Caenorhabditis elegans: one gene and its partner. The protein of the gene in region 2 purifies or fractionates together with the protein of the main gene of each other region. This does not show direct contact. Each region holds a gene or a part of one and is shown on either strand. Other genes may lie near its edges.

Region 1 (17,335 bases), on a different chromosome or scaffold from region 2:
GGGGATGGGAATGATTGGGGGTGAAATAGAAGCCATCTGATATCAATAGCCCTTTACTCTAGGTTAGGTACAAACCGCTCATTTCTATTATTGCTTTTTCTTCATTACACAAGCCTTAGACTCTCTATCTCACTATTTCACCGCCCCATCACCACACACTCTTTCTTGTGCCCAGCAGGAAGATTTGTAATGTTTTCAAACATTTTGTTCATTCAGTTTTTTCACTGCTTTTTCCTATTTTTTCTCTTCATCCGGCAGACAAATCGTTTTTCTTGTTCGAATTGATTCATAAAAAAATATTTGGCTTTTTTTTTCAGAAAACTGGGATGGACCTGGATCCGAACCTAGTTATTAACCATGACGACACAAATTTATCAGAGGCATCTTTTACAATGTAAGTTTTTTTGATTGAACGAGCCTGCAAATTTGAGGAAAAGAAACAATTTATTTTGATGTTGGGAGTTATCAAAAAAAAAATTTTAAAACTGTTTTAAAATATTTTTTACAGGGAGCAACACACCTCGAGCTATTCGGATATACACATGGGCTCAACGCCCTGCACCGGCCACCGCAAGGTGGATATGTGGCGGAATCACAACTTTGATAGCGGTTTCCAAACAATGAATCACAGTGAGGTACGAGAAAACAGAGGAGAGATAGACACACACACACAACAAAGATTAATGTGTTTCAATTTCAGGCTCCATCTATTATATCATCTCTACATCCGTCATCGCATCTTTCCGGAATGTCATCCATGGCCGACTATGAGCCGATCCCCACTCTTTCAGATCAAGTAAGACCATTTCATATCAAAATGCGCTGGTGGACAAAATTGTTATTTTTCTTCCAGCAAAAACAAAAGTTTGATGGGATCACGCAAAATCAAGCGGATGGGCAGTATAACACAGTTCGAGCAATTCCAGAACTCACTATGCTTATGAAAGATCAGGATAATGTAAGATTTTTTTGTTCAAAACTTTTTTGAAATATTCATACTCATAATTTCACAATATATGAATTAAAAAAATCCTCGGTTTTGACCTATTTTTTATATTTTAATTATATTCAAACATCTTGTATTCCAACATGCAACAATGCTCGAAATGTTACAAATTTTTGGAAAACTTAGCAACTTATCAGAACTGTGACTGAAATTTTTGAAAAAAAAACTTTAAAAAATTAGAAACGTATGTCTACTATTACTATTATTACTATTACTATTACTATTACTACTATTACTGGACTACTATTATTTCATTTAGGTATAATATGATGTTAATTGATTTTTAACTTTCAATTACTCAAAATAAATTATCAAATCTACAGTAAGAAAAATATTTAGTCGAATTTATTCACTTAAATTTTCAAATCACAAAATCTGAAATTAAACTATGAACTTTTGATTTCAGTACTGATATTAACACAAAGATAAATTGGTTCTAATGCTGCTTACTGATGAAGCCGGTGTTTGAACTTTTGATTGTTTGTAACATTTAAAATCGATTATCAAAATTGAAGTATCTGGAAAAAATTTAAAAAAATTGATTGTTCTGCTGAAAAAAACATTATTCAAACAAAAATCTTACAGGAGGTTGTGCACAAAGCTGTAATTCTGATGCAAAATATTGCGAAGATGGAGTGTGACCCAATGCGACGGCAAAATGAAGCTCGAATTGTGGACCCCCGTGTTATATTTACACTGCGTGATCTTCTCCGTGACAAAGTTGAATTCCCGGTATAGCTTGTGCACTTGCACAGTTTAATACATCATATATTTTCAGAACATCATTCGTTGCACTTTGGGAACATTCTTCCACATTTGCAACCGACAGGAAGGAATTGATCTTGTCACTCGAGCGATCGCAGAACAACCTGATATAATTCCAAATCTTATTAGGCATATTGGGTAAGAAAGTTAAATTTCAGAAAAAAATCATTCAAATAGCTGTTACAGTACTTATCCAAGTTCAATATACAAATATGCCATTCTTACTATGCATTCGATTCTGTCCGATAAGCAGAGAGGCGGACAAAGTGTGATCATTGCGCGTCAACAAGATGCGATTACTGTAAGATTAAAGAAGAAAAAAAATTGAAAAAAAAAAATTTACAAAAAATTGCAGCATGTGACTCCGTGGTTAGAAGCGGAGAAATCAGAAAAACTTCTTCCAGTGATAGTTGACTTGATCAGAGTTTTGTGTGAAAAGAACACCGAACAGAAAATCAAGTTTGTGAAAATGGGAGGACCTCAAAAACTGCTCATGCTACTACAACACAGAGTTTATGAAAATTTGCTTTGGCGAACTACGCAACTTTTGAAAACATTTTCGAACTTTGTAAGAAATATTTGAAACTGAAGGATGTAATGTCTGAACTTTTCCAGGACGCTCCAAATCTTGTTGCTTTTGGTGGTCGCCAAATTCTCGCCAATCTTCTTTCACATGGTAGTCCGCGACTTGTACAATCAACCCTTGAAACTTTGCGAAATATAAGTGACGTACCAAGCAAAATAAAAGAAGATTTACTTTTGAAATCTCTTCTGGAGCTGGTCAATTCTCGAAATACAACAATCCGTCTATATTCTGCTCAGATAATGTCAAATCTAGTTGCAAACAACAGGCATAACAAGGTGCTTTTGTCAGAAATCAAGATATAGTATTAATTTTAATTCCAGGAGTTTATGTGTGGCAACAATGGGGTTGTCATTCTTGTGAGAGCTTTAACAATTGCCACCAAAGAGATGGGTGACTTGAGAGATAAAGAAGCACAGCAAATGGAGGATTATATTGTAATAACATTTAAATTTCAAAGCTTAACAATACGGTTTTCAGGAAAGCCTAATTTGCACGCTACGGCATCTCTGTGTTGGACATCCAATGTCAGATAAGGTCCAAGCATTTGTTTTCCGAGATCCTGCATTATTTCTACACAAATTGTTAACAATGAGACCAGTATTGCTGAAACACACATTGAGTGTAAGTCATTAATTTGAAGGGCTAATAAGAAATTGAGATTTAATTTAGCTCCTGCTGAAAGTTGTATCCCAACATGCCCTTCTTGCTCCATTCCGATCATGCCGAATTGGAGATAAAGGTTTTGTTGAGCAACTCATTCATATTTTGAGAGTGGCATGTACCCAGCTGAATGTGGTAAGTAAAAAGTCAACAAACCGACTAATAATTGTTGGATTTCAAGCAAGAATCTATCGAAGGTGTCCGCGTGAAAGATATCATTCATCTTTGTATTCAAATCCTGCGATGGATTACAAGAGACCAGGACATTCTCAACGAGGTATTAATGTTTTCAGGTTGAAAACCCAAATTTCAATTTATAGGTTGTTTTCTTCCTGCAAACTCCTGAAAATAGCCGAATGGGCGATGGTCATACTCTTCCAATTTTTGTATTACAAAAAGCCAACGTTGAAGAGAACACGAAATCATCGGCTCTGGCCTTGATTTATAATTTGATGCATCATGAGCAAATGGCAAACGTACTTGACAGAGATGACGTTCTTGTTAAAATGCTTCAAAATGTTCAAATGCAATCTCAAACTCACCCTGAATTAGGTAACGTTGCACACCAATAGACAAGTAGAACTGAAAATTTACAGCAAGTCTAGCAAATAATATTCTCAAGATGATGTATGAGAAGCGAGAAAAGACAAGGAATACTCTTCCAAGATACAATTCATATTTAGAGGTAACACAAAATGGGGGATAACTCTAAGAAAAAGTCAGTATTACAGAGCCAATTTGGTCACATGAGCATGACCACCCCACGAAGCGAAGCACTAAATAGTAGCGGTGAAGTGTGTGAGGGAGCTGGAGAGCAATGGTCTACACCTTTAACAGATGATACTATGATGGATTCGTATTGCAACAGCTCCGGACGAGATTCATCAAGTAAGATATAAGATGACAATTTAATTTGCTCTAGGAAGCTAATCAAATTTAACAAATAACTTTCGGCCATTTTGACATTTGCCGGATGTCAAAATTTTGAAGATGTCTTTAGAAAAGCAGTTTAAAATATAAGCTCAACAAAGATATATGTTCGATAATTTTCAAAGCTTCGGCAACACGATTGTTCGTTGCCGAAAACTTCCCGAAGTTTTTATATATTGCCAACTTTGATAAACGCAGGATTCCAAAGATTCTATCTACATACATAGTTTTGCTTACCATTGTGAGAGCGAAAAAAAAACTTAGGAAAATTGTTATAGATGTAATTTTTCAACTTTTTTAAAATAACAATCAAAATTTGACAATTATTCATTTTACATAGTTACCCATTTTTTGGAAGTAAAAATTGTTTAAATGTGAAATGAAGGTTTTTAATTAACGTATTTGCTCTATAAGTGGGGGTGCCAAAACTTTTTGAAAGAATACATATATTTCGTAATATTTTATTTCGGCTGTATGATTGTTTTGTTTTTTTCTTAAGATTATTTTACTAAACTTTTCACTGACGCTACTCCACCTTCGAATTGGATTGAGACAATATACTATTAAAGAAACTATGAACCTAGAACCAAAAACAAATATTTCTTCAGAACCATACAACTCACCAATGTACCATTCCCCACCAGCAATGTATCCAGAATACTCAATTGGACCTCCCGAGACGTACTTGGATCCCCATGCCACAGCATCTTGTTATCCGCGACCAACGCCTCCTCAATATAACAGCTATGACCGTAGTCCACCAGTTTACAACGACCTTCCATCAAACCCTGGTCCGAGTAGTCATTCGTCTGATTATTATCCTTCTAGGAATAGTCGATTTTAATTTTTTAATTATAACATAGACCCCCACACTTTCCACCACCCCAGTCGGATATTTGTTGCACATTCCTTGAAAATGAGATTCTAATTATTTGTATACGGGTTCATGAATTGGCATGCAAAATATGTTGAATAAAGTGAATTTTTATTGAATTTCAATTTCAGAAAGTGTGTCAGATAAGAAAATTTTTATAAAAATAACAACTATTATTTACAAATTATGAATTCCAGATTCAGAGTGTAGTTTTTGCATGCCAAAACAAATTCATTTACGTCATTTGATTCATTTCGTAGTAGATACCCTTCAAGTTGATAAGCTGCTCATGGCTACCTTCCTCGGCAATTTCTCCATGAACAATAACGTATATTTTGTCGACGTTTCGAATTGTTGATAAACGATGAGCGACTGGAAAAAAAACATTTTTCCCGTTAGAGATTTGCCAATTCTCGTGACGTACTGGCTGAGAGTTTAAACCGCATTAAATATTACTTTTCAGTTTCAATATACTAATTCTTACTTTGAATACACGTGCATTGAGTCTTCGTACTCCTCTTGACTCGTTCAAAAGCGTTTTGAACTTCTCTCTCGCTGGCGCTATCCAATGCCGATGTTGCCTCATCTAACAGTAGAACAGTTGGTTTTCTGATAATTGCACGGGCAATTGCAATTCTTTGTTTTTGACCGCCAGAGAGCTGGGCACCAAACTCTCCAACCTCTGTGTCGTAGCCCTAAATTGCTTTGTTTTAATGTGTTTTATTTTTAAACTCACCTGTGGTAAACTAGTGATAAAATTATGAATGTCCGCAATCTTTGCAGCTTCGATAACTTTATCAATTGTTGCTTCGCTTTCCATCATTCCAAAAGCAATATTTTCCTAAGAACAAGAACATTTTATTGTGATTTTGATAAATGGTTAAAGATACCTTGATGGTGAAAGAGAAAAGATCAGGTTCCTGGCCGACTTGTACAATGCATCTTCTTAAATAGGCCGGGTTTATAGATTTGATGTTGTACTTGTCAATGATAACAACACCATCCGTGGCGTTGTACATTCGTTGGAACAAAGAAATCACCGAGGATTTACCGGACCCGGAAGGTCCTACAAGTGCAATTGATTCTCCACCCCTGACCTTTAAGTTGATCGTTGAAATTCGATGCAAAAAAGGTACTTATGGGTTTCGTTCCCCTCAATATGTTTTCCATAATTTTTGATAGAGACGTGAACTTTTTTTCATTCTCAGGCTTAGGAAGATGGTTTCCTAAGCCTGAAAATGAAAATAGTATTAAAATAAACTTTCACGTGTGGATTAAAATTAAAAATTCAGTATTAAATAATTAAAAGAACATTTTGGGGGAACGAAACCCATAAGTATTAAAAAAAACACTGACCTTCAAGTTCAAGTTAGTCAACACTGGTACAATGGGTCTTGAAGGATATCTGAACGAAACATCCTTAAGACAGAGGTTTCCTTCCAGCTTCTAAAATAGAAAACTTGTATTTCCTTGGCTTAGTTAATAATTTTACCGGTCTTAAGCCTTCCTCTGATAAGTTATCCATGTCAACGGGTGGTTCTCTTATCACCCTCATAACGTTTTCAGCTGCAATCTGCGCTTTGGTAAAGTCACTGACAGATGCGATGAGTTGTGAGAAGAAATTGGCACCAAACTGAGTGAGCAGAACAACTCTTAAATGACATTTTCTTATTTTTATGTTTCTGCTGATCTGTTCTGGTTACCTCATATAATCAAATACACTAATTTCGTTTGCCAGCATCATCACTTTTCCAAAGTGAAGAGTAATTGCAATAAGGATATAGGTGAACGAGTATTGACATGCAAAAACAAGAGCAGAAATAAGGGATTGTTTTTGCATACATCTGAAAATCAAATTTTAGAACTAAATCAACCGATTACTGTACTCACTGTGATACTGGTTTTAAAGCATCGCAAAAAACGTTATAAAAATGAGATTGTAGATTGTATGCTTTGATTGTACTCATGTTTGCAAGCACCACGGACGCTAAGTTAGCAGCTTTTTTTTCTTCATCCACCATTTGTCTTTGTCTGAAATACACTTTTGAAACGGACTAAATTTAATGGACTGGCTACCTCTTCGTTCCTTCTCTGATTTGTAATATTCTGATAACAAAGTATGCTGGGAACTGGAAGGAACACAAAAGAGCCATTTTCCAGTTGATCCATAACGCGCAAACAATGGAGAACAGCGAGCAGACAACACCAGGAATCAACATATCAAGCTTTTGTTCCATAATTTCATTCAACGTAGACGACTCGTTGATCACTTTGTGAACCAGCCTTCCTGGACTGTTTCTTTCCTCGTCAAAGTATGCAGCGCCATGGCGAAGAACCTGAAATCAAGCTTCGAAAGTTTACCAAGAGAGTAGTGTATACCTTTCTAAACATTTCATTTCTCATGAATTTGCAGAAGCCATGTCCATAAAGTGCGATGAAAATTCGCTAAAATTTGAAACATATTATTGGGGAAATTAAGGATTTTGGGAAATCAAAAGTAAATTTACCCCAAGCGCCTCAAAAATAGTTTTGACAATGATCAAAGCTGTATAAATTGCAGCTACAATAAAAATCTGAAGTGCTCGCTCCTCATCTGGAGCAATTGAAATCTAAAATGTTAGAATATTATGAAAAGAACGCTGCAAGTATCGAGTAACCTCTAACACTGACGCTACTTGAAAACAAATCAGAAGGTAGAAAACTGCTCTAACAATTGTTGTTGGTATAGCACCTGCTAAAAGTGGCAATCCTGTTCTGTAGGAGTAGATAAGATCCTTTAAAACTGTGAAGTTTGTCTCTTTTCCAGGAAGATCCTAAAATAGAATAAAGTTTTGCCTGAGCAACATTAATAAAAAATAATGTTCGGATTACATCATCGTCGTGCATACTGTCCGTGTGTTGTTTCACATCCATACTGTGAACTTTTGAATATTTGTAGTCTAATCTCTCAGACTTTTTTTTGCTCATCACCGGCAGTTTCAGTTTTTCCTTCTCCATACTGTTTACAGAGTACGACTTTCCCAATTTTTTATTGCCACCCAGCGAACTGCGTGCCCATGCACGACGTTGTTGATCGGGATCCTGAAAATTTACGAGAATAAAGGTTTATGGTTTGATTTACAACGTGCCATGTTTGGTGGAGGACTGAACGACATCTGTTGCTGTAGGGATGGCGGTTTTGCCTGTTGCTGGTGCAGCTGTTGGTGTTGCTGAGTCAGTTGGTCGAGGCGTTGGTCATTGTACATCTGTCATGATTGAGATAAAAGTTGACTTTGAGAAAATGAAATAAATTTGGAATCGTGAGAAAAATACCATTTAAAGGGAATTAAAAAAGATAAAAGGATGATTGAGGTAATAATCTTTGACACTATTTTTATTTACTTGTTAGAAATTTAGGGATCACACCGTGTCAGTCATCGAAAACTTGTAATCGTATTTCTAAGTTAGTTTTGACCATCATTCAGCTTTGAAATGGTTATATATTACGTGAATTGTTTTCTATGTTATCCAAATACTTCCTCCCTCTTTAAGCTTACTTTGTGGAAAATTCCGTTTGCATCAGCTATCAACTCATCCGGCACTCCTTCTTCTACAATTTTCCCCTCGTGCAATACAATAATTCTATCAGAATTTTTTATCGTTGAAAGCCGATGTGCAATGGTAATTGTAGTCAAACCTTCGGAAGCTAAGTCAATGGCTGCATTAACTTCTTCCTCGTGAATATTATCCAGTGCAGAGGTTGCTTCGTCGAAAATCAACACAATTGGCTTACGAATTACTGCCCTAGCAATAGCAACTCTCTGCTTTTGACCACCAGATAATTGGTGCCCTCTGAATTCAGATAAATTATTGTAAAAATTGAGTTAAAATGCATGCATACCGTTCTCCAACTCTGGTCTGCATTCCATCAGGTAAACTATTGATAAACTTCCATGCACCCACTTTCCTAGCTGCATCGTTAATTTCTTGCTGTAAAGTTTAACTTGAAGGTAAAACGGTTTGAAATTATCAAAAGGAACCTGAGTGGCATCCAACCTTCCATATCGAATGTTGTCACTGATCGTTCCATCAAAGAGTACTGGCTCCTGGCTAACAAGGGAGCATTGTCCTCGGAGATCATCCGGACACATCGTTTTAATATTCTCACCGTCAAGTAATATCTGATAGCTTCTAGATTAGTTTATGACAAATACACTAGAATAACTTACAGCTCCTTTAGTTGGATCGTAAAACCGGAGCAGTAGAGCAGTGAGGGTGCTTTTTCCACTACCACTACTCCCAACAATCGCTATTTTTTCACCAGCTTCTACTTTAAATGAGATTCCACGAAGTACTTCAGTTTCTTTTCTGCTTGGATACGAAAAGTGAATATCGCGGAAGTGAAGAGCTCCCTTCCCTAAAAAGTTTTAAAAATTTCACATGACTCTATAAACTTCATTAGTTTACCCATAAACTTCATACTCTGTCTTCGATACTTGCACCTTGTTACTGGAACATAGTCGATATTGTTGTCAATTGAAGCAAGTTCCACTTCAATTTTTGGCTGCTCGTCTGAATGTGGACCAATTTTTAAACTGTACATTAAATTTCAAATTTTGTTTACTTAAAACTTCGCAAATCTCTTTTGCGTTATCTTTTGCTCTTGTGGCTCCATTCATGTGGAAGCCAATTGAAATAGAAGTCACACACATATAAAGCATGTTGATTGCAAGCTGTAAATTAAAAATGTACGCGAAAACGGGAAAAAGTTGTACTGCGCAAAGACGTCCTGGCGAATTGTCAGCAACCCTCCAAATCCCATAACAAAGTGCTCCAGTGAAAATAAGCTCTGTCAGGAGGATCTGAAAATTTTTATTGCGAATATTTCAGTAAGAAATTGAGAATTCCAATACCTGTGTTAAACTATCAAAGACTACTGATGATCTCAACCGTTCCTCTGTTAGTTTGCTATGTTCTGCAGATAACTTCTCGAACCTGAATAGTTGCCAGATATCATTTAATCCGTTTACCCAATACTCTTACTTGTTGATTTTTTGTTTCTGAGCGGCGAATGAGATCACCGTAGTTATACAATTAAACGTTTCATTGACAAGATTTGTGATTTTGTTCTGCAGCTTTGTCTCCTCCTCCATTGTGTTTGCAAACCACTGAATAAACTCCTTCCGGTAAGCCTATCTATCAATTATATCATTCTCTCACCTTACTGTACAGTATACGTGATATGATAAGCAGCGGGATCGCGAGACACATGAACAGTGTCACATCCCACTGAATGTACAGGCATACGCCAATGTTAACAAGTAGGTACGATAAAATGAAGACAACCATGGGCAGATGATCGGAAATTCCATTGTATATAGAGTCAGCAGATCTGAAAAACAAAATTTAACGTACGTGCATATTGTGGTAGCACTTGATATACAACTTTTCAACTTGAAAATATTAAATTCGAAGTTCATGCGTGATTTTATTCTAAATTTCACCTCTCTTCCTTTTGTGCTACGTTCACAACTACAACTATCCCTTTGTATTCCAGTCTCCTGTCCCCACTATCACCCATTCCCTCGGTGACCACCAAAATTTATTATCATTGCTTTTCTCCTCCTGTCGCGAGGTAAAGGTTAGGGGTTTCAGGTTTTATTCGTTGATTTTATGTTGTAGAACTATCTGATCTTTACTCCTATCATCATTATCATGGCGGAAATCTTACTCTTGCAACATTGCGGCAACATGACCACTCTGTCGGGATTCAAGCCAAGAGATATCCATAAGAAGCAACTTTCGAATGTATGCCTTCTTGATGCGGAACACTTGACGGATCGACGAAATTTCCCAAGCAATTCGCTGGAAAGTGAAATACAGTCAACAAACACTTAGAAACCCATAAAATCGGCGGAAAATGTCAAAACAAGTTACCTGGCAGAAAGCTGCAATAAACATCGCAATCGACAGTCCCAACATCGAAATGAAAGCGGGTGTTGCAGAATGAGCAAACTGATCGTCGATTGGGTAATCCGATGTGAGATTTTTCAGTCCAAGTTTTCCTTCCTACATTTCAAAAAACTATCATTGAAAGAATTTCAGATCAATTTACCTCTCTTAAAATTGATATTGAGACAAAATTACCCATAATAAGCCAAACAAATGGAGGAAGTGCAGACTGAAGTAGTGCACTAAACAGACCCATCGCCATCAGCTGAATAAATGAAATTTAATAGAATAAAAGTAATGTTAATCAAAACCTGCATGTCAATACTATCGGCAAACGCATAAAGCCTTTTGTAGGGTTCGAAAAATCCAAGTTTTGGCTTGGAATCTGAGGATTTATCCAAGGGGTCGTCCATTGTGACGTCATATGCTGAATGAGTAAAGATAATTAAAAAAAGGGCCTATACGCTCATATCACAAGTCAAATTTATATTAGAAGCAATTTTCAATTTTTCGAATCACATAATTATTTTTTTAAATTCATTTTCATTATAGCAAGCTAATCCAACTTGAAAAATAAATGAGAGAAATAGAACCACTCAAAAAAATTTAGGGGGTACATTCACTGTATCAGAATTCCTCACATTTTGGTGTGTGAGTTCAAAGCCGCACGCGGCTTTTCCAACTGAATCTGGACACAATCTTTTATGTAATTGCTTAGTTACTAAAGGTTAAAAGTTACTAAAATTCACAGCTTTGTTAATATGATGTAGTAAATAAAATCTATCAATATTTAAATTTCAAAAGGCACAGGTTTACCATTGCAAAAAACTCGACAACTTTTTTTAAATTTAGAACAAACAATATTACTTATACTCATAACTAATTGTTCACAATTCTTGGAATCCAATAAGCTTCAAAATCACAACTTTCCCGGGAACACTCTATTTAACAACGATAAAAACATTTCTTAAACTCATTGAACTAACCTTTCTTACTATTCTTCAAATCATCAATATATAACGTTGACGGTTCAATCGGATAGATCATTGATTTCAGAGATTTCTTGTCTTCTGTTTCTGCTTCTTCTTTTTTTTCAGCATTTCCAATTTCGTTGGTTTTATTTGTGCTCTCATTTTTATTTTTCTCATTTGACATCTGCAGAAAAATTAATTGTTACATTCAACCTTCGAATCACTGAATTGTAGAAAGTACAAAAAGAGAACAATATCCACACATCAATCTTCAGTGATGCACTTTAAATTAAAAAAAACATTTGAGTGAAAAAATCTTGAAAACAAAAGCGACCACACTTGGCTTCATTAGGCGGTCATTACATTACTCGCAACCACAAAAACGAGAACATCACGGTTGGTGATGGTGATCGATGCGGTTGAATGGAATGGAGACGAAATGGAGGGTGGAGAGTGTTAAAATGACCTGCGGCCCCCAAGAAGTTCTTAAAGAAAACACACACAAAAACGGGAAGATGAATCAGAAACGGAAATCTTATCAGAAAATATGTATTTAGAGTGATAAAGAAAAAAGAAATGGTAAATGGGATGAAACGGAAGATAGATTAATTGATAAGTTGAAATGAGCTAAGGAACATTTATTTCGGAAGTTGAGAACTTGTGATTTACAGTCACCAGAGTTTTCGAATACCGTTTTTCTTCTTTTATGTCTTGCCCCCTATTATATTTGCATCTTTAACCTTGCATACAAAATGATTATTTCAAACATGTCTGACAGATTTCATACTAGACCTCCAACAGTCAAAAATTTTTAAAAAATTGGAAAAATATTTGCATATACCTTTTGGTTGGTTTTCTATCATTCCGAACGTCTTTTTTCAAAATAATTGGCTTAAATTCAAAATAAATGGTTTAAAAATAGTTTCCCGGTCTCTACATTTTAGTATTGCGTACCTAATAGTCATGTTTACGATTTTTTTCTCTTCAAATAATAACATTTTTTCATGGCTTATCAAAATCAGTATTGTAGAAACTACTCTTCAAAACAAGAGAGGGGGTCCTTTGTGCTCTCAAGCTTACTTAGACACTTCGAGCCAGTAAAAGGAGATAATAGTTCCGAAAATAACAAAAATCAATTGTATGTAATTTTTAGAAGTCCATAATATCATTTTTGCTAGAAGTGACTGCAGGTCTAACAAGTTTAATATACTTCAGGTATACAAAAGTTGACAGAATATTTTCAAATTTTTTAAACAAAATTAGTTTAAATTAACAAAGGCATATGCATTCAAACTATCTAAAAAAAAACAATTAGATATTGGGAAAAGGGTTTTTGGAAATGTGTCTGTTTGTAATACATATGTGCCAAAAAAGTTTCACAAGGAAGGAAAATAGTTTTACCTTATGTGACACTATGCAAGGAAACAATTGATGATTGTATCGGAGGTTATCATCATCTGGTTTTTCTATTTTTCTTACCAAGACCATACTCCTATCATCGCCTCCTTTTGCCCCCAACGCCTTCTTTCTCTCTTGTTTTGGAAAGTGACCGTCAGACGATTTCGAAAATAATCGAGTGCACGTCTTCTCTGCTTCTCTTCTTTTTTCGCCTTACAACCAATAATTGATAACTTGATCATTCTCAAACTGTCGTAACCAATTTCATGCTACCGGTCGCTTATTACTACGAATTAAGTTAACGTTTTGTTTGGTCTCGTTTCTTTTATCAAACTATGTAACCAACTGAATTCACATTTGAGTCATATTATTTATTACTGCTTCAGTTCTATGTAAAAGGGGTTACGTCTTCAGAGATAGTGCGAAACTGTATGGTATAAGTATGCAAAGAAAATACATTTGCTTCCGATTGATTAGTTCATTGTACATGCCCTTTTGTCGGCAAACAATTGAAAAATGTGATTTTTGAAAAGATGTTATAATTTTTATATGTCTGTCTGAATCAATTAGAAATAAACTTGAAAAGCAACTTTTCAAAAATAAAGTTATCTTAAATTTTAACCTCTACGTTAAAACCTTATACATAAATTAATCTAAAACGGCTAAATCGATTTTCATGAAATCCAACAACTGTAAGAACATTTCAAAAAGATGTTGGAATCATTTCAATTCTTATTTTTACTTACAAAACCGAAGTACAATACAAATGTCATAAAGGTTTTGATGATTTCGGGTTTAAAAACGATATTACAAATTGAAATTTTTTAAATTTAAAGAATAGCTAATAAAGATAATATTTTTCAGTAAACTATTTTATATATCAATTTAACATTGAAGAATGATATTTCCGTTTTCAATAAATAATCTAAAAAGCAAAACTGTTCTGATCATGTCTACATTGCTAGGCACCCAAAAATATTATCATTAATAGGTTATTAAAAGAGAACTAACGGTTTTAAGTATTTTGAACGAATAGATCATAATAATATTAAAAAGTCCAATTTTGTAATAAGAGACTTCTCAAAAAAATTAATGGAGGTTCAACATTTTGAAAAAAAATTAGCAATTTTAGCTGGGTCTTAAATTTTGCTTACTTTTCCGTCTTACTGTTTTTTGGATATTTTCCTTTCATTTGATTATCAATCTTTATTGCACATTTTGGCCGGTTATCTCACATTATCTCGTTGATTAAGATACATTGATTAACGACTATTATTTAAGTGTTAGAAAAATAAAAATTATTTTTGAAACAAGTGTAAAAGTGAACAACTGACTAAAAAAAATAAACTTCTTTTTGAATTTCATACAATTAAAACAAATCAAATAATTGGTATAATTTAACTAACAGACATCATGAAACTTAAGTAAGAGTCCAGTAAAAACATGGCATGAAGTGTTTTCGATTACAAGTGCAATGTATTCAGAAGAGTAAAACGTAAATATTGGACTGGTAACAATTAAAAAACAACAAATAGAACAAAAATGAGGAACTCAAAAAGTTTAGTAGATTTATTTTCTTTCATTAACCACCTCCTAAAATAAGAGAGAAAATGCTAATGTGAGAATCATCATTATCATCACACAGTCTCTTTTTGTCATCGCGAGTTTTCACTAATTGAATCAAATACTTGGAGGACATTTAATCACTTGTTTCTTGTTTTGTTCTCGCCCTCGCATCCTAGTGTTTGTGTTACTACAATTCATAGTTCAGACATCGTAATTTTACAGAAAACGGCAGCAGCAGCGACAAAAGGAACAGGAAACATCGTTCTCCATCATCTCAGCTGATTCACCTTATCCCCCAATTATCTTATCTTATTCGGGATGACAAATCAGTTTTGGAAAATTGTGATTGTGATGACTTTGATAACGACCATGTTTCTTGGAGGTTGGGACATTTTCTTAGCCTTAGAGTACCGAACAAAAATGAGTCATGTAGTAAAAGTCTTGCAGATATTGCATGCATTGAAGTGTGAACATATCTTTTAGAAACACTTTGTTCAAATTTCTAGTGATTATAATTTAAATGACAAAAGTTTTACAGAGACTCACAGCGAAGAAGAAAAAATAGTGGGACTTGAAGAATTCCTGACCGAACTCGATCCGACTTTAAGTGACATCGTGAGTGAAATGAAACAATGATATTAAATGACAGTCGTCAAGTTTGATATATTAAGATAGTTACCACATATACTTCTGGCGTCTTTTGAATTAGAGATTTTTAGCCCGCGCAATCAAAAAATATATGACAGTGTATTGTGATAGAACAAAAGACGCGTAAATGTAGGTGTGATCACATTCTTCATAGATTCAAAATTTTAGTTTTTTTTTGTTTCACAAGTGAATTGCACTTTGCGTGACAAATTAGAAATAGTCGTGATATTTGGAATGAATGTCCAAATTCCAAAGCGCAGAATTGGGCTTATGTTTAAAAACAAGGAACACAAGTGGTCACATGTATCAAACATGTGTTTTGTCAAAACTTAAAACTTGATTTTAGAAGTTGACCATTTTAGTATCTACAAAACCGAGAGGCTTGATTTCGATCATTGATTTAGTAAGGTTGAGTAGTTTTATAGATAGGAATGAGTTTCTAAAAAAAGTGATTTGACAGGTTCTATTGATTCACACAGCTGAATTTCAAAAGTTGTAGGAGTTCTTCTACAAATTTTCTCATGAATTGATTGATTCATACTTTTTAATAGAAGCTTTTTAAAATTTTCGTGCTAATATATGTATTTTCTGAATTCTATCAGTTTACTTTGTTTGGAATCTTAAAAAAAATGAATTCTTCAAACTTGATAACTTGGGCAGGATCCTATATTTGATAAACGTTTTAGAATCAATTAAAAAGTTCCTATCATGAAATTTTCTGGCCATTTTTTGTGCTCAAAATAATGACGAATTACTTGGTCTCGTCAGCATCGATTGGCAAACGTCACAACTTTATACCATACTTCTGAACATTGAGCATTTAAAAAATGTGCCAAAAGCTGTGATGAATTTACATACATTCAAGAAGTTGAAGTTTGGAAAGTCGTACATAAAATGTAGCTAAACAATTGTGAGAATTTCAATATTGAAGACTGCAAGAATTTGCTGAACAGCTTGATCGTATTTGTAAACTCCGATTAATCCACAAATTTTTAAATTTTTGCAATTTCATTGCAACAGTTTATAAATTTAAGTTTCTAGCTGCAAGAGATTTCCATGAAGTTCAGTCGCTTCGCTGAGCAGGTCGTTTGAACTCGCTATGTTAAGCTAAACCAAATCTAAATTTTTATATTCTTACTGTTCACACAAGACAATGACGATCTCTATAGAACCGATAATCTCTATAGAGCCTCAAATTTTGAATTTAAAAAAGTATGTTCAGTTTTCTTTTATTTTATTGAATAACTTCAATTCTATTGTACCTCGAAAATAAAAATTAGAAAAATTTAGGACTCAAAATGCCATTGACCACAGCACTCAAATCAATTAGTGAATGATTTTGTAGTTTACAAGAGACTACAAGAAAGTAACATTTTGCAATTCCAAACTGTCTAGTCACGAAATAGACGTTCTGATTTCTGATGGAATGTAAGAACAAGACCTAAAACTTAACATACAAAGCAACCAGTACAACCGAAATCTAATTTTTTTAGGTTCTTGAATTATTGGAAGCACAACAGTTACCAACAAACAAAGCCAATCGAATGATGAGACGGATTATGAGAAAACTACCACCTGAAACATTAGCCGAGCTTTTTGAAGTGTACAAGAACACCCGCAAACCTTAAGTTTTCTTGTTTCTCCTTATACCACTCGCCTACTTGTTTAGTTCAGTTACGTTGAATTTATATTTAATGTTCAATATATGTATAATTTTCCAATACATTCATTCAATTCATCAAAAGAGAAAAGGACAGCAGGCGCGATTCCAATTCAATGAGTCATTGATTCCAAGGAGCAATTGTAAGATACATAGAGCTCACTCAATTCGATGTCAAGATGAGAGAAGATTCATTTCTTGCAGATCCATTGCTTTTTTGTGCTCCCGCCGTTTTTTATAGACGTTTTGCACCGTCTGCGGTCTCCTTGATTAACACTCTCTATGTTATCCGTGTGCAGTGGACTAGGCTCTGATAGAGTAAAACATTGGCCGGGGGTCG
Region 2 (16,314 bases):
TTTTTTTTGGGCAGAAAATGTTTTTTTTGAAATTGTACAAAATCATTTAAATTGAAAAAGGACAATGTTTTAGGGTTCGGAGGTAAATTTTCAGTCCTCTAAATACAAAATTAATCATTTAAGAGGAGTTTCAAAATTGTGAATTTTTACAATAAATTGCCCATTTTTGCCACTTTTAAATAGTTTTTGATCCTAGATTTTCTGAGTGCTCCATATATGAATTACCCGTTGTCTACAAGTTTAAACAATTTTTATTTTTTCCCAATTTTAAGTCCAAAAAAATTCGATTTTTTTGGCAAATCTTTTGACGGCTATATTTTAAACATCCTATATTTAGACGATCTGCACTCCTAGAATCCCATTTATCAAAGCTAATCAAATCAATCAAGTGACAAATGATTTCACTACTATAAATGTAGCATTAATAGGAGACACACTTCTCATTGTCAGTCACCTCGCTCCTGTTTTCCTCACTTCTCTATATGTTGTAATGAGAGTCATAAATGCTTTTGTTTATGAATGACCGAACCAGTCGATATAGTCCTCTGCCAGGAATGTGGAGGATGAAGGTTACAGAGATATTATAAACAAATCACTGCCACCAAATGTCTCTTTTGTGTTGCTTTTTCAATTTCTGCAACTTTTCTTTTCTTTCTATTTTGGAACAAATTAAGGCTCATGCTTCTGCTTGGCTAGGTTAGGGTTAGGCTTAGGTTTAGGCTTAGGCTTAGTCTTGAAAAATGATAAATTTATTCAAATTTGATTCATAGGCCATACTTTAATTAGACTCGGGACAAATTTTCACATTTAAATCAATTTTTCAGCAATTTTTATATGATAGATGTTTTTTCAATATATTTTTCGGTCAAATGTTTTGTCGCAGTACTTGGGGGAGGGGGCCAGAGCCTTCATGACAAATTGGCATTTTTATTTTATAATCATGTACACGTGGCTGTCTCGTTACCTGCAGGCCTACATGGGTACTCAATCAAAAACTAGGCACATGGCAAGCAGGGCTGGGACCAGAAAATAATTTTGGACCAAAAACAAAAAACAAAAATTTAAATTTTCGAGAAACCAAAAAGCCAAAAATCCAAAAAATCATTATCCCGTCTTTTGACCAGAAAAACAAAAAGACCAAAAAAGTCCCAGCCCTGATGGCAAGGCACTAAAATTTTGTGACTATATAAAAGGTCTTCATAAATTTTTCAACGCTCTCAAAATCTTGCCTGCTTGTTTCCTTATCTAAAACCAAAGGTGCCAATTAGTTCCTAGTACTCATAAAAATTTTTGCAAAAAGTGCCATTTGTATGCTCGTTTTGACGTCACACAACTACCAACAAGAAGCTCATACTTAATAAATATTGTAGTAGTACCATCGATAAAATATTCCTTCTCTATCGAAAACTTGTTTTTTGTGTTCTTCTTTTTTTGGTGTTTTTTTGATGTTTCTAATGCTGGGGTTCCCCATGAAATTTTCAAGACTTTCCAATTTTTTGATGATTGATTTTTGAATCTTGAACTGATATAACTGAAACTTGAAAAAAATCAAAAGCCATTGCGTTTTTGATTTTTAAAGGTGGGTAGCGCCAGTGGAAATTTTTACTAAATACACTTATAACTATTCAAAACCACCAAAAATATAATAAAACACTCCAATGTTTCTTTTAGATTTTTCCTAATTTCCGATCAAAGTTTTGGCAAATTGCCAAAATTTTGAAAAAATATAAGCTTTTGAGGAAATCCAAAGCAACATCGCATGTTCCGATATTTGGTGATTTTGGCACCATAGGGGTAGTTTTTAACACTTTCCAAACTGTTTCTACTTCATTTTAAGTTGCTATAAAATGTATACTTTACAGTCCATCTTTTTGAAATGTCAAAATTAAATTTTATTCTAGCACCACAAGCCGTGTAAACAAAACACTCATAGATAAACTGTCTCTGAAATTCAAATATTTAGGAAAACAAAATTGTTCTAGTTGACTCATATACAGAAAATAGTTTTATCAATTGACTGGTTGTCATATAAAGCGTTCCTTCCGCATTTGAAGATAACTTCCAAGCTCTTTCACCAAAAAACATCAACTCGACTATCATTTCATTAGGCTTCTCGTTATTAGGCAGTCGACCGTGAATAGAATGCTACCACCAGAAAACACAAAAAAGAAGAATTGGTGTTCCTTTGTTAGTTTTTTATTTCTTTTTTCCTTTCTTACTTTCATTTTTCAGAAATCAAATATTTTAATGTTCCAGGTTTGCACACCTTTAATAGGCTGGATTAGATTTAGGCTTAGGCTTATGCTCAGGCTCAGACTTATTCTTAGTTCTACGTTATTTCAAATCTGATATTCTCGAGACCAACTCAAAATTCCAACATCTAAAAATAAAACTTTACTTAGTCTTCAAGCAAATAAAAATTCTGAAATTCTATAAATAGTAAACAAGTAATTTGTTAGTGTCCCTTTCCTCCTTTCTGTTCATACAAAGAAAGAAAAAAAAACAAATCAAGTCACCATCTGTTTCTGCGCAAATTTTCCCCACTTCTATCTTTTCTCTTGAGAGAAAAATTTTTGGTCGCAAAAAATTATTTTTGAGTGACCTTCGTTACTTCTCTAACACATTTTTCCGTATTAGCTTGAACAGTATTTATGATTTTTCCAGAATGAGAAAGCACTTTGTATTGTTCTCATTTCCATTTCTTCTCCTATCCTCCATGCTGATCTTCTATCAGACAACTGTATTTCGGAATCAACTGAACGAAGAAAATGACTACACGGGCGGTCCAATCGTTCCATTCATGAAACGATCCGTAAGATTTATTAAAAGTGAAGTAGCTCCAGCTGGAAAATTGTTAAAAAACCACTCCTATGGTGCCCAAATGACCGAATATCGTAATAAAACGTTTTAAAAAATTCTTTAAATTTTTTATCTTCTGTCAAAAAGTTTTGCCACCTATAATTTTGGAATTCCACCAAAAAAAATTTTCCTACATTTTTTATACTGGAATTTTGTTTTAATTATTTATATTAAAACATTGTGAAGGTCGAAACATACGACATTGCTATAGATTTCCTCAAAAGCTCATATTTTTCAAAATATTGGCAAAAACTTTGACAGGAAAGTATAAAAATTTAATTTTTTTGGATTGTTTTATTATGTTATTCTATCGTTATGGATCATTGTGAGTGTATGTAAACAAAATCCCCACTGGCGCTACTCTGCCTTTAAATGAATGCTAAATTTTCAAAAAAGTAAATTTCAGCTTGCTTTGCACTATCAAACTTGTGAATCTTTTCTGAACTCATTGAATACAACTGTTCCAGTCCTACTGATTGATGTTGATGTACTCAAGATGTTAGATGAAAATGCTTGTAATCTACCAACTGGAAGACCAACAAAAGTAAGAATAGAAAAAAACATGTTGATATTAAAAATATACTTTTACCAAATGAGTTTCAAAATATTTGAGAGGAAATACCACATTCAAATTGCTCAACAAGTTTTTTTTTAATTGGCGGGTATTTCACAAAAAAAATCAGACAATTTGAGTTAGAATTGCTCATAAATTATCGATTCATATCAGGGGTGGGCTGCAATTGGCGTTCGGCAAATAGGCAAATTTTCAATTTTGGCATTTTTTTCCGGCAAATTGCCGATTTGCCGAAAAAAAATCGTTTGCCGCCCACCTCATTCATATCAAAGTCACCTAGTTCCAGATTGGCGTGGACGTCAAATATCTATCCGCCACGTGGCTCCTGCAAGATTCCCGGTTTGAAATTGTCTACTACACTAATGATACCGAAAAAGACTTTCTTGATTTTAGATCAGAACCCAGGAAAATCATTCCAAAGTAATATTTATTAAATTATCTTGAACCTTTCAATTTTCCAAAGTTCAGAAAATTCTCAACTTGTTGGGTTGAAAATCTTGCAGTTCCAGCTGACATCAAATTATTCGTGGAGTTTTGGAAACGTGCCAAATTTGTCAACTGTATGAATTTGCACATCCCAAGAGCCGGGTCTAAGGTAATTTCTAAAACTTGACAGTATACCAAAACATAAATATTTTTAAAAAAATTCTAAAATTTAATAAAAGAATGAAGCTTCGAGATTTTCGAAATAACCTGGAGAGCTTTCAAAATGTAAATTTCCGAAAAAAAATGTTTTTTTTCAAATTTGTTGTATACTTATTTTGATTTTTGGACTATTCTGAAAATTTTCCAGGTTCGAATGCCGGCGAGACCATCATCCGAAGTGTTATCCCGTCTTCGAGACGAACTCATAGAGAATCGAATGTTCCCATTTTTAAATGGCGGAACCCTTCTGGGATGGTACCGCGAATGTTCTGTAATCCCACATACGTTGGATATGGATATTTCTGTGTTTGCAGAGGATTTTAATTTGAATTTTGTGGAACAAATGGAGCAGAATTTATCCGATTTTCGAATTAAGAGGAAATTCGGAATGGTTTGTTAAATTTTCTGGAATCAATTTTAAAAACCTGGGGATAATTTAGACTAATGACTCGTTCGAGTTGACATTGGCGCCGAAAACTGGATTCAAAGTTTTTATAGACGTGTTTCTAATGTACAAGGGTGTGGAGAATGGATCGGTGACCCATCATTGGGTGGGTGGAGTTGCTCGTAAGTTTTTTGAACATTTCATTCTAAAATTGGAAGAAATCCAAGAAGATAAAAAAATTGCTTTGAAATTGTTTTGGTGATTTTCAAGCTAATTTTTCAGTAAAAAATTAAAGTATTTTTCATAAAAAACATTTATAAAATAATTCAACATTTTTACAGCCGACGGCACCAAGTACAAGTACTCCTATCCTGTTTACGATCCATTCTGTGCAGCAGACCTCCACGGTCATATATTTTGGGTCACTTGTACTCCGAACGAGAAAATTGTGGTATGAATTTCAAAAATATTTACTAAAATTCCCTTTAAAATGTTTAGAAAGAGTATGGCCAACTATGGTACCTCGATCACCTGACATCAAAGTACTCATGGAATTCTTCAGGAAAAAATGTGAAGAAGAACGGAAAATGGACGAAGGAGCAGATGAAAATGGTCTACAAAGTGTTTAAACGGTAGCAAAGGAAAACTCTTTGTGTCGGGGTCGAACCTGCGACCTATTTTGTCCAGGGAGAGCTTCTTACCGGCTACGGGGGTACCATGCTTCCACTTAACTGCGCCCTGTGGCTCAGCCGGTAAGAGGTATGACCTTGACTGGAAAGATCACGGGTCCGACTTCCTGCCTAATGAATATCCTGTTAACATCCGGTCAACATTTCAACGGGTATTAGTTTTTTTTCTTTCATTTCATTTCATTTCATAAAATAAATTTTTAATTTATTTATCTGAAAATGGGTTTTTGAGATGTTTTGAAAATGGATGTAAAATTGGTAAAAAGTGTAAGATTCTAAAAGGAAAGTTTTTACATTAAAAATAATGAAATAAAAAATCTTTAGAACAGAAAAAAGAAACACAGTGAAAATCGATAAATTGTGCATCTGATACAGGTTTTTTTACAGGGATGGATGGGGGAGTGGAAGGAATGTATAAATTTAATTTTAAAGATAAGCTATAGTTTTTTAGGATAATTATTCTAAAACAAAGTAGAACTCATGGATTTCACGCAAAAAGTACATTAATCTGTTTTCGTGGCGGGACCCAAGATTGGCATAAGTACTGCTAATAGTAAGCTCTCTGTAGTAAGCTGCATTTGATGAAAAAATTCAAAATATACATTTTTCGGCGGTTTTTATCATGTGTGCACGGAAAAAGAGCACATAAGTGTTCTAAAATAATTATCCCAAAAAAAACTATAGGAAAATGTGTGAAAATCGAGGAGATCACAAGACAAAAGGTACCGTAGATAGAGGAATGCTTGGGGGATTTTTTTCCAAAAATAAAATTTTGGAAAATTTTTTTTCTTCAAGTTAAACACCAGAATCAACACTGCTAGCCCTATTCAGAAAGGCTCTTGTCACAGAACCAGGTCGTTCACTTTCAGATAACATTGGGTCATGATTGACTCCATAGATTTTGATTGCTTTTCGGCCCATTCGTTGCAAAAGTTCCTGGGAGACTTTGTGAGCCGTGCGGAGGGATGTGTGCCATTCTTTCAAAGAGATTTCGTCCTGGAATTTTGAAATTCAAGATTTTGAAAAAATCTGATAACGATGACACTCCTATAAAAGTTCAAATTTGAATTGCACCCCAAAGTTTAAAATTTTGAATTAGTTTAAACAAGAAAATTTCTCTGCAAGAATTTTGATTTGATCAAAATCAGAACTTGAATTTTGCGTCAATTTTGTTCCTAAAAAATTGTAAGTTTAAAATGTGTTCTCGTCAGTATTTTTGAAAGAATAAAGATTTGAATTTTCTGCAGAAATTTTTGAAAAACTCAATTTTAAATTTTAAATTTTCTGCCGCAATTTTTTGTAGGAAAAAATTTCTACAAGAAATAAAAAAAATAAATTTAGAATTTTTCCGCAACGGTTTTTTGAATACTTGAATTTAGAGTTTTTAGCCAAGTTTAATTTTATAATAGCAATTTTTATTCCGCAGAAATTAATACCAGCGGAGAGTGCAAGGCACGCTTCAATAAATGCCACAGAATTCAAAAACTACAAGATAGACAGACCGACAGTTTTTTTTTTCAGTCTTATACTTTAAAACATTTTCACTAACCGAGTTTGTTAAGCAAATCTTAGGCTCTTTGAACCCATCTCGTAACTTCACAATGATTGCCGTCTCTCCCTTGATGGTCTGCATTTCGGCGCACACATCTTCGATTTGATCCATAAATACTAACTGAAATGTGTCATTTTTATATTTACTCAGTTTTCAAATCAAACGTACCTCTGGCTTAGCAGTTAATGATTCCGGATAAAGTTCCAGTCGAGATGGATAGAGCTTGCCGTATTTGGTTTGCCAAGCCGAGGTGAACGGGCCGCCGAGCTTCTTGATATACCCGTGGACTATAACATCGGAATCTGGAATCAAATATTATGCAGATTTGCCTGGGGATCTTTTTCTACTTACCTTTCTCCTCAACTGCCACCTTGATCTTCTGTTTTGACCGCTTCTTACTCTCCGCCTTATCCGCATCCTGATTCACTACCTCAAATATTGTCTCCGCGATTTCATTCTGCCACCGTTCAGATATCACAATATTGAAGTTTTTGTACAAATCTGAATCCCCGTCTTGCAACTTGACACCTTTCACTTCATCATCGTCAAAGTTTCCAATGTCAAATGCATCCGCAGCGTTGACTTCTCCACGTGGTGGGATTAGTGGTGGTGTCATTCGTCTGGAAAATTGCTGATTGGTGAGTTTCTTGAAATTTTACAAAATTGTTGCAACATTAATGGCTTAAAAATTATTCACCTTAAATTTCCGTTTTGGACTGTATTACAATTTCCACAATGTGGTTTGTAAGAAATACCAGCACAGGACGATAAAATTTATAACGGATCTGTATGGCTTCGAATGCTCTTTTCAATTTACATCTATGTGGCTAACGACAAAAAATATTAATTTTTGTACTTTGAGTAATTTGGTTCTATTAAATATATAAACTCACCTCAAATACACAGTTTGCCAATCGACATCTTTGAAAAATGGATGCTCCTTAACCTCCGTCGGCCCTTTCCCGCGACACCCCAATCTATCCGGAACGTCTCGTTTCAAAAGTCCCTCCAGAAGATCTCGACAGTCTTTTGACAATCCTTCATTCGGCAGTTCAATATCTTGTGTTAATGTCATTTTGTCAATCTCGTTCTTATCTTTGCTCTTATGTTGACGAAATGGTGAGTGTCCCTTTAGAAGTTTATACAGCATACATCCTAACGAGAACCAGTCGGCTGACGAGTCGTAGGCAACGCCTTTGGCCAGTACTTCGGGTGCCATGTAGCCGTGGGTTCCGCTGAAATTGAAACAATTAGGTGACTGGTCGAATTTATTTAAAAGTTTAAAAGTTTGATTAGATCCTCATTTTCTGTCTTGAAAACAGGCAAACTTTTTGAAATACTGATAGTAGGGCTCCAATGAGGGCCCGAACGTGTCAGTCGCTTTCAGGTAACTACCTTTTCCCACTTCATTACACATACAGCGGGTAACGGCGCCGGTGTGGGACCCGCATTTTGCTCCTCACTCAGCTGGGAGCCCTGACTTATAATTATAATAATAGGGCATAATTATAGGGCTCAAAAATAGTTTTAAAATTTCTAGCAACGCCTTTGCCTTTTTTTCCTTAGCAAAACCTCAAGAGTCAAAATATGTGTTTGATACAAGGTATAATCTTCCCAATAGCGCTTATAAGTCTGAGATTTTCTATGTGTTCAGGTTTGAAAGAAAACAACTTACACACTAGCATGCGGCTTCTTTTTTGAATAATCACACGCGAGACCCAAATCGGAAACCCTCACATGACCATTCTCATCCAACAAAATATTGGCAGGCTTTAAATCTCGATAAACTACAAATCGATTATGCATATGTTCCAGTCCAAGTATAACTTCTGACGCATAAAATATCATCTCTTGCTCCGTAAATACTCCGTGTTGTGATAAATGATAATGAAGGTCACCACCGTTCATCAAATCAAGGATGAAACACAGTTTGTCGGGTGATTGAAATGCGTATGTCATACACACGATGAATGGGCAATCTTGTCCAGTGGAGACGAGGCTCAACATGATTCTCTCGTTTAGTGCCAGCGTTTCTCCTTGTTTCATCTTGATTCGCTTTTTGTCAAGACATTTCATCGCGTACCTGGAATATGAAATTCTAATCAAGTCCAGTAATATTGATAATTTCTTCCCGTAATGTCAGAGTGTCTTATTTCGGCTTGATCTACGTAGATCTACAAAAAATGCGGGATAAGAGACGCAGAGTTCTCAACTTATTTTTTATGCTTAAGACCGTGCTACCGTCACATATTTTTGGCGAAAATTCCCGCATTTTTTGGAGATCAAACCGTGATGGGACAACCTGGCATCACGTGTATCTTTGGTACTCCAGGGTAACCTAGTTTTTCTAGACCTGGTTTTGAACTTCTGGCATAACATTTTCTTTTTAGGAGCAGGCTTGCATATTCACCACTCACATCTTTCCCGTGTCAGCTTTACGACACCCGTAGACTTCTCCAAAGCCACCTCGACCGATAATTCGATGTACTGAGAAGTCGTTCATTGTCAGCTGCATATTCAACTCCAAGTTTTTCCACTGACAGAATCTGGTGAACTTGTCCGACTCGAGAAATCGTTGAAAAATATCTCCACGAAGCTGATCGCAAATCTCCAAAACATATCGGTGAAAAAGATCTGGAGGCACATTTTGTTTAAGAAGATGATATTGTACATGTTGTAATGATTCTTTTGAGTAGTTCTGAAATAGTTTGCGATTTGTTGAAGAATTAAAGTGACTGAGTCTTACGTGAGCATGTGCGAGCATTTCAACCATTATATGATGATCATAAATTTCTCGTGCTTTTGTTAATCGCTCATCTGGTGTCTCCATTTTCTCGTATTCTTTGATCTGAAACTTTGTTGAGATCAGAGATATATTTTGGTAACTCTGATACTCACCGCCTCGTAGAATTTAATTTGAGGACACGGACTCTCGGAGACATTTTCCGCGTAATCTTTTAACAACAAGAAACCGAGCTTTTGATTGAAGATCTTATCAAACTTCATATCACCCGACTTTTCCAGAAATTTTTGCATTATACTCCGCACACTCGGGTCTGGCAGAACTATGCGTTTGCTGGCACGAGCCGCCGGCTGACTTCGGCTCTTCTCCATTGCCATCAGGTAGCTGACGTCAGCCAGCACTGCTTCCAAGTCTGCCATTTTTGTTCTGCAAAATCGAATTGATTAGAGATTTGGTTTTTAAAGAACGAGTAATAATTTGTCAGGAAACGAGTAAAATTCTGAAAGCCAAACATACATAGTTGCGCTAATTGAAAATAACCTTTATCGGCTTGTAGCTCGGTTATTTTCAGCGACAGAACAATTTTTTAAACTACAAAAATATAGAAACAATTGTGTTCAACAGTTTTGTAGTTAAAAATGTTTTCCTAAAACTGAAAGCAGCCAAGATATTAGATGTCAAAGCCATCAAGGTCCCCTTTTTCTAGCAATGACTCAAAAAGTAGAGCGGCAAAGTATTCTAATATTGTTTTGAAAAATAAAAGCGAAAAAATTACTAAATCTGAAAGAAAAATGAAGAGAAGGGAAGGGAAAAGAGAGAAAAAAAATTGAACAACAATCATAAAAATGCAGTTTTTCTTTCTCTCTTGCTTCTCACGAAGAACAAGAGAGACGAGACGCAGAGAAAAAGATAGAAGCAGAAAAAAAAAAGAAAAATATGTAAAAGCTCGGAGCCCCCGAGCCTACCCCACCCGTCCAAATCGAGTTATGGGGTGAGACGGGTAGTCGAATTTTTTTCGGGGGAAGGGTTTAGGTACTGACTTGGGAAAGGAGGGGGAATGGAAAGAACGAATTTTATGTTCGGGATGATTTAGGTGGAAGCTTAAGCGGATTAGGATAGGATTAAAGAGTTAAAAGACATTCCTAGTGCACTTCTGATCTGGAAGTCAGCTGCAATCAGGAAATGTCTGAGCCAGTAGTAAGTCTAACGAAGCTCTCGTAAAATTGAGATATTTTAAAGAGCAATTAGTGTTGTCACGTTACAAAAATTTTTTATGCAGTTTCAGGTATTCGAGATAAAATTTGAATAGTAATTTTTTTGAGGTGAAAACTCTAAATTTTTTTGAAGAATCCCTACGGGTGTGCGTCCTATAAAAAAGGAAAAAATTCAATCAGTATTTAGTAATCAATTTCCATGAGAACAAATCATCGGGATAGGGCGCCAAACGGGCGAGTAATGAACGGGAATAGGCGCTTTTTAACCAGGTGTATGCAGCGAATTTGTTGGGTTTTCCAAATTTGCCAAGCATGGCAAACTTCCAAAAAGTGGCGGGGCCAAATTTGCTGCACACACCACAAATTGGATTTTTTTAAAATTGACCGAAGCTAATGATTTTGTTCAAAAATTATAGTAAAGTAACATAAAATTGAGTTCTTTTTAATTTTATGCTTTTCGGGGTTTGATGAGCTCGGCAAATATGCCAAATTTGCCGAACTTGGCAATTTTGAGATTTGCCGCACACCCCTATTTCCAACCGTAGGCTGGCACCGTAACGTCAAGCCATCAAAATATACCCCAACTGGGAATTAAAATTATTTTTGTATAGATAGAAAAAATCTAGAAATCTCAAAAATTATATATAGCTGTTTTTGTTATCAAATACTGGCTAGTTGTTGGTAGGGGGTATTAGTTGTAGTATCAGTAACCGCCAAAAGTCTCAAAGGGACACTAGGAGAAGAAGAGGAGACGGAAGAGTGGAAAAACAAGTGGCAGATTAGATAAACACAGAGGGAGGGCTCCCTATTCAAAAAAAAAAGAGATATCCGGATATTTTGTAATGAATTAGTCTTCGATGAAGTAATAGAAATAAAAAGGGGGCTGTGCTAGCAGTGGTAGGTATTAGTTTGAAAGAGCACCTTACAAATCTTTCAAGTAGCTTTCTACAAAAATATGGCACCAGAGGAGCACTTTGCATTGGAATAATGGAGATCGGAAATTTTTTAGTACGTTCTGCTTATTTCAACAAAATAATTACTTATTTCAAGTGACTTTTAAGCTTAAAATTAACTTTAAATTTTGTGCGAAAGGCTCAATTTGAAGAAATATGCACCCTTTTGCATGCCCAGATACAAAAAAAACACTTTTAGAATTTGAAAAAAAATTTGCAAAAATTAGGGAAAAAATTCAGATTTTTTTCGAAAAAATAATAATTTCCAAAAAGCACCCACATTGTTTTTAGACACAAAAGACCCACAAAAACAATTTCTATTTGCTCAGAACTACTTTAAGGCCATTTTCTTGACCTAGAATTCAGCTAAAAAATGCACTGGACCACTTTCAAATGCTAATTTCAGGGGTTCAGTTAAAGTTCCGCCGCTGAAATTTTTGTGGTGATCTAGTCTAAACATAAGCTTTGAAATGACTTACGTCTCAATTTGAAGTCCGGGACTAGATTGGCCTGCTTGTATTGTCAATTTAAGTAAAATGTTCGTAGAACAAATTTTTTGGTCGAATTCCAAAAATTATAAGTCTCGGGATGGTTCGCTTTTTTTTGAAAAATTTCTTAAAACCAAATTTCACAAAGCAGCAAAAGAAGAATAATAAGCCGCATTGCTCTTTTCGACACCAAAAGCCAATGAAATCACTTTCTTTTGATAAGACGTCCTCAACCGGAAAATCGAAAAATCCGGGCTCTTCCGCCAGACAAAAACATTGAATTGGAAGAGAAAATGAGAGAAAAAGAGAAAAAATAACGGAAAAAATTTAGTTTGAAACGTCATGGGCGGCCTGTAGAATTGCAAAAATTTTTTTCAGAAAGTTCAAATTGAGATTTGCGCTGAAAAATTTTGTCCATTTTTTGGGCGGGGCTTGAAGGATTTAACCGTGAAAATCGCCGCCAAAAAATTTTGACTGAAATGCAAAAAACTACATTTTCATCTTTGATGTATTGTTTTTAAAGCTTGTACAAAGAAAAAATGGGTCAGAATATCTCAAATTTCTCAAAAATTCCCCCATTTCAAAAGAAGAAGAGAATATTATTGGGTCGTTAAAAAATCCTTATTTCTTTAAACCAATCACTATGGAAACTGTCGTGTGAAAGTTTTATTTTTTGTGGTCGTTATCGTCTTGAGAATTGTGGGAAGAGAAAAATATAGCCGTCGATCATGTGAAATTGAAATAATAAACTATAATCAGTTTTGGGGATTTAGGAACTTCATTTGAACAAGAAAAAAAACTAGTTTTCTGTCATAAAAAATACTCCGAGAACTTCACAATTTAAGTTTCAAAAAATTCAAGCAATGGTTTTTTTTTCAAATAAATGCAAAAATTTAAAAAAATAAAAATAAAAATTTCAATTTCAATTTTTCATTGAAAATTTGTCGTGAAGTTCAAAAATAATTTCTCTGGAAAATAATCTACCAGAAAACTCAAAAAAAAATTCAAATTTTAATTATTCAGAAATTTTTATTGGAAATTTAGATCTTCTCTTTCTTCCGAAAACGACAGGTCTTCCATAACAGGGGTGTGCGGCAAATTACAAAAATTGCCGAGCTCAGCAAATTTGACAAATATTTTTTTCTAATATTTACCGAATACGGCAAATTTGCCGAGCTTGACGAATTTGGCAAATATACTTTTTTTTAAAACTATTTCATAACGGAAAATTCAGAAAAAAAAACGAGCATGATTCACTTGGAATGCAAAACCTAGACGCCGTCTTACAGCTAATTCTACCCCTTTTCCCCTGTTGTTCAGTATGCAGTAAATAAAATGACGATACACATATATTTTCCAATATGATATAATATCTCGAAAACCAAAGAATAAGTATAGTTTTTGAAAAGTTTGAATTCAAAAAAAACATTTTCACGTCATGAACTTTACAAAATACTATTATGATGCTCACAAGATAATGAAGGTGTTTAAAAAAATGATCGATCATGTTTTAGGGTGCTACAAAAATTAATTGCCAATCTTGTAACACTCTAGAGTTGATTTTATTTAATTATACAATTTTGGAATTGTTTAAATTAAAAAAAAAACAAGTATATATTTGCTCTGATAACCTTTTTAAATGTACGTGCGTAAAAAAACTGTACAACACGTGTCCATATTAATATCAAAATCAGTGGTGGGCGGCAAACGATTTTTTCCGGCAAATTGCCGGTATTGAAAATTTCCGGCAAAATCGACAAACTGGCAAATTGCCGGACTTGGATTTTCCGGCAATTCGGCAAATCGGCAAACCGGCACAGTTCCGGAATAGAAAATGTCCGGCAAACCGGCAATTTGTCGATTTGCCGAAATTGTCGGCAAAAATTTGCCAAACGGCAATTGCCGCTCACCCCTGTCCAAATATTCAGACAAGGCAACGTCAAGCTAAATGAGACAAGGATAGCTGAGGCGGGTCTTAAGTTTGTTCAAAAAAATTTAATGGATTTTTGAATCTACACCATTTCTAAAAAAGAAAGTGTCGCAAATCGAAACTGGTTACGTGAATGTAATTCTTGGAAAAACAGTGTCACATGGCAAAAACAGCAACATTTTGCACGTTATAAAAGACTTGATAGAAAACGAATTTTTCAAAAGTACCACCTATTACTTTTCTTGCAACTTGTAAGATAAGTCTTCAGAGAAGTGTCAAAAGTCAATAGGAACTACAAGATAAAAGAGATAAGGATTAGCTGGTGCGAGTGAAAACCTCCACCAGAGGAGCCAGGAGGCAATGTTTGTTCAGAGCAAGTGGCCCGGGAGATGATTCGAGTCAACTGATTAATGATCGGTAAGAAAACGAAGGTTGCGACACATTTTTGGGCAGAAGGAAAGTTAGCAAAAAATGTAAAATCGTGTGTATGTGTGTGGGTGTGCGAAGTAAGGGGGAAAACGAGAAAATCGTCGCCCTAGGGCTCACACAACTTAACTTTTTTCGTCGTCGTCGTGTCTTCTGAAGTCACTCTCAAGACTCCTGAAGAAGAGAAAACACGGACGACGACGTCTTCAAGTCGGTGTTAATCGAGTTGGTGGTGGCTCTCTCTCTCTCTCTCTTTTTCTGCAAAAAGAGAAAAAGCTGACGGGACCACGACCCCCGTGGAAATAGTGTGAGCGGGTTTGGAGACGCAGCGAGAAATTGCTCGCCAGAAGTGCCCGGCAATCGATGCGTAGCAGCGAAGCCAGTAGTGGAGGGGGAGAAGGCAATTTTCACGAGACGTTGAGAAATTCCAATTCTCCGTGTATCATATGCTATTTTCATGGTCACTTTCAGATTTCTTCCCTCCCCTTTCCGTATTCCTGAAAAAAGTATTTTACACGGGAAGTGGAGCGAGTCTAAATATAGAAAATATAGGGATTCATTTAGATGGTGATCATCACCACCGTGTGCAAGAAGGTAATAAGATTCAAAACGCATCAGTTCACACGCAATGCTTCCTTCTTTTTTGTGTCTCATTATTAAAGTACAAAAAATGAAAAGTTCGATGTTTCTCAGTTGGAGTTGAAAGCGTTATTAAAAGTGTGCACTAACTTTAATTACCGCACTTCTGAAAGTCCTTGCAATAGGTTTTCATAGTTTTAAAATATCATTACAGGGGTGTGCGGCAATTGGAGATTTCCTGCAATCGACAACATCGGCAATCGCCGGTGTTGGAAATTTTCGGCAATCGCCAATTCGGGCATTTTCGGAAAATTTTCACCTTGTTTTTTAGTATTCGGTTAGTCATTTTCTGAAAGAAAACGGTCTTAAAGGATTAAAACATTTTGAGCTTGAAAAAGAAAATTGTTCATTAAATTGCATGTTTAGGCTCCTAAATGTACAAAAAATATCAAATTTTTGTTTCTGGTTAATTCTGATAATCTTCAATTTCGGCAATTGTCGGTTTTGTGAATTTTCGGCTATTTTGGTAATTGCCAAAATTGCCGAACTGCAATTGCCGCGCACACCTTGGTCATAGTCATAATATTGAAGATTAGCAGACATTTCGATCGTCGAGCACAAAGCTATTTCGCTATGCAGTTTTTTTTTGGCATGGGTCGAAAATTTCAAAAAAAGCATATAGACATACGTCCCGCTCCAAAAACCGGCATAATTTGGCATTTGGCATATGAAAAAGGAGCACAGCTGTGACTGCAGTACTTCTACCCTAACGACTATAGGTGGGCAAAGAGTCGCATAACAGAAGCCGAACTGTTGCCGAACTAATAGTAAATCAAGTACCACTAGGCTGTTGCAAAAAAAGTTCAACCAAAAAACAAAAATCGAATTTATCGAAAAAACCGAAAAAAAACCAAGAAAAAAATGTTGTATACTGATATCGTTTTTAAAAAAAGTGCTTTGAATGTGAGAACAAAAAATTTAATTATGAGTTATTAAAGTTGATGCATGATCAAAAAAAATTTTTAAAAATGACTATAAGAAATAATTACTTTGTACTTATTAGCTCATTAATTTTAAAGGGCTTTTAAAATACAGAAATTGAAAAAAATATTATCATTTACTACCGTCTAAAAATTTAGGTTTTAGAACGAAACACGAATTTCAAGTACTTGCCAGTTTGTAATGTTTCTGTAATTCTTTTATTAGTTTGGAACAAATATTTATTTTCCAAGAATCTCAAATCTTACGCATCCTAAGACACGGTTGCCTATGAGCAA

What was found.
Region 1: the proteins of grk-2 (region 2) and pgp-10 fractionate together in Caenorhabditis elegans (co-fractionation; one large-scale study listed by BioGRID). This does not show direct contact.

What each region holds. Positions count from the first base shown.
Region 1 is NC_003284.9:7,153,608-7,170,942, reverse strand, and holds pgp-10 (P-GlycoProtein related), read right to left. Parts: upstream 11,908-17,335; coding exon 11,739-11,907; intron 11,180-11,738; coding exon 11,064-11,179; intron 11,018-11,063; coding exon 10,916-11,017; intron 10,870-10,915; coding exon 10,738-10,869; intron 10,666-10,737; coding exon 10,532-10,665; intron 10,193-10,531; coding exon 10,021-10,192; intron 9,969-10,020; coding exon 9,844-9,968; intron 9,796-9,843; coding exon 9,714-9,795; intron 9,663-9,713; coding exon 9,576-9,662; intron 9,534-9,575; coding exon 9,425-9,533; intron 9,373-9,424; coding exon 9,268-9,372; intron 9,218-9,267; coding exon 9,030-9,217; intron 8,982-9,029; coding exon 8,841-8,981; intron 8,791-8,840; coding exon 8,702-8,790; intron 8,653-8,701; coding exon 8,358-8,652; intron 8,067-8,357; coding exon 7,950-8,066; intron 7,903-7,949; coding exon 7,693-7,902; intron 7,635-7,692; coding exon 7,479-7,634; intron 7,431-7,478; coding exon 7,329-7,430; intron 7,267-7,328; coding exon 7,201-7,266; and 20 more. Other genes in the region: bar-1 (Beta-catenin/armadillo-related protein 1), read left to right, coding at 327-394, 509-635, 701-796, 854-958, 1,592-1,738, 1,785-1,909, 1,958-2,072, 2,127-2,339 and 9 more; C54D1.7 (Antimicrobial peptide), read left to right, coding at 15,006-15,069, 15,226-15,302, 16,829-16,963.
Region 2 is NC_003281.10:669,681-685,994, reverse strand, and holds grk-2 (G protein-coupled receptor kinase 2), read right to left. Parts: upstream 9,874-16,314; 5' UTR 9,867-9,873; coding exon 9,603-9,866; intron 9,553-9,602; coding exon 9,451-9,552; intron 9,403-9,450; coding exon 9,122-9,402; intron 8,788-9,121; coding exon 8,380-8,787; intron 7,940-8,379; coding exon 7,598-7,939; intron 7,325-7,597; coding exon 7,056-7,324; intron 7,007-7,055; coding exon 6,873-7,006; intron 6,825-6,872; coding exon 6,702-6,824; intron 6,149-6,701; coding exon 5,948-6,148; 3' UTR 5,346-5,947; downstream 1-5,345. Other genes in the region: W02B3.4 (uncharacterized protein), read left to right, coding at 2,666-2,812, 3,266-3,403, 3,720-3,853, 3,902-4,028, 4,227-4,469, 4,519-4,645, 4,805-4,914, 4,962-5,099. UniProt on the Caenorhabditis elegans protein: Specifically phosphorylates the activated forms of G protein-coupled receptors. Required in adult sensory neurons for chemotaxis.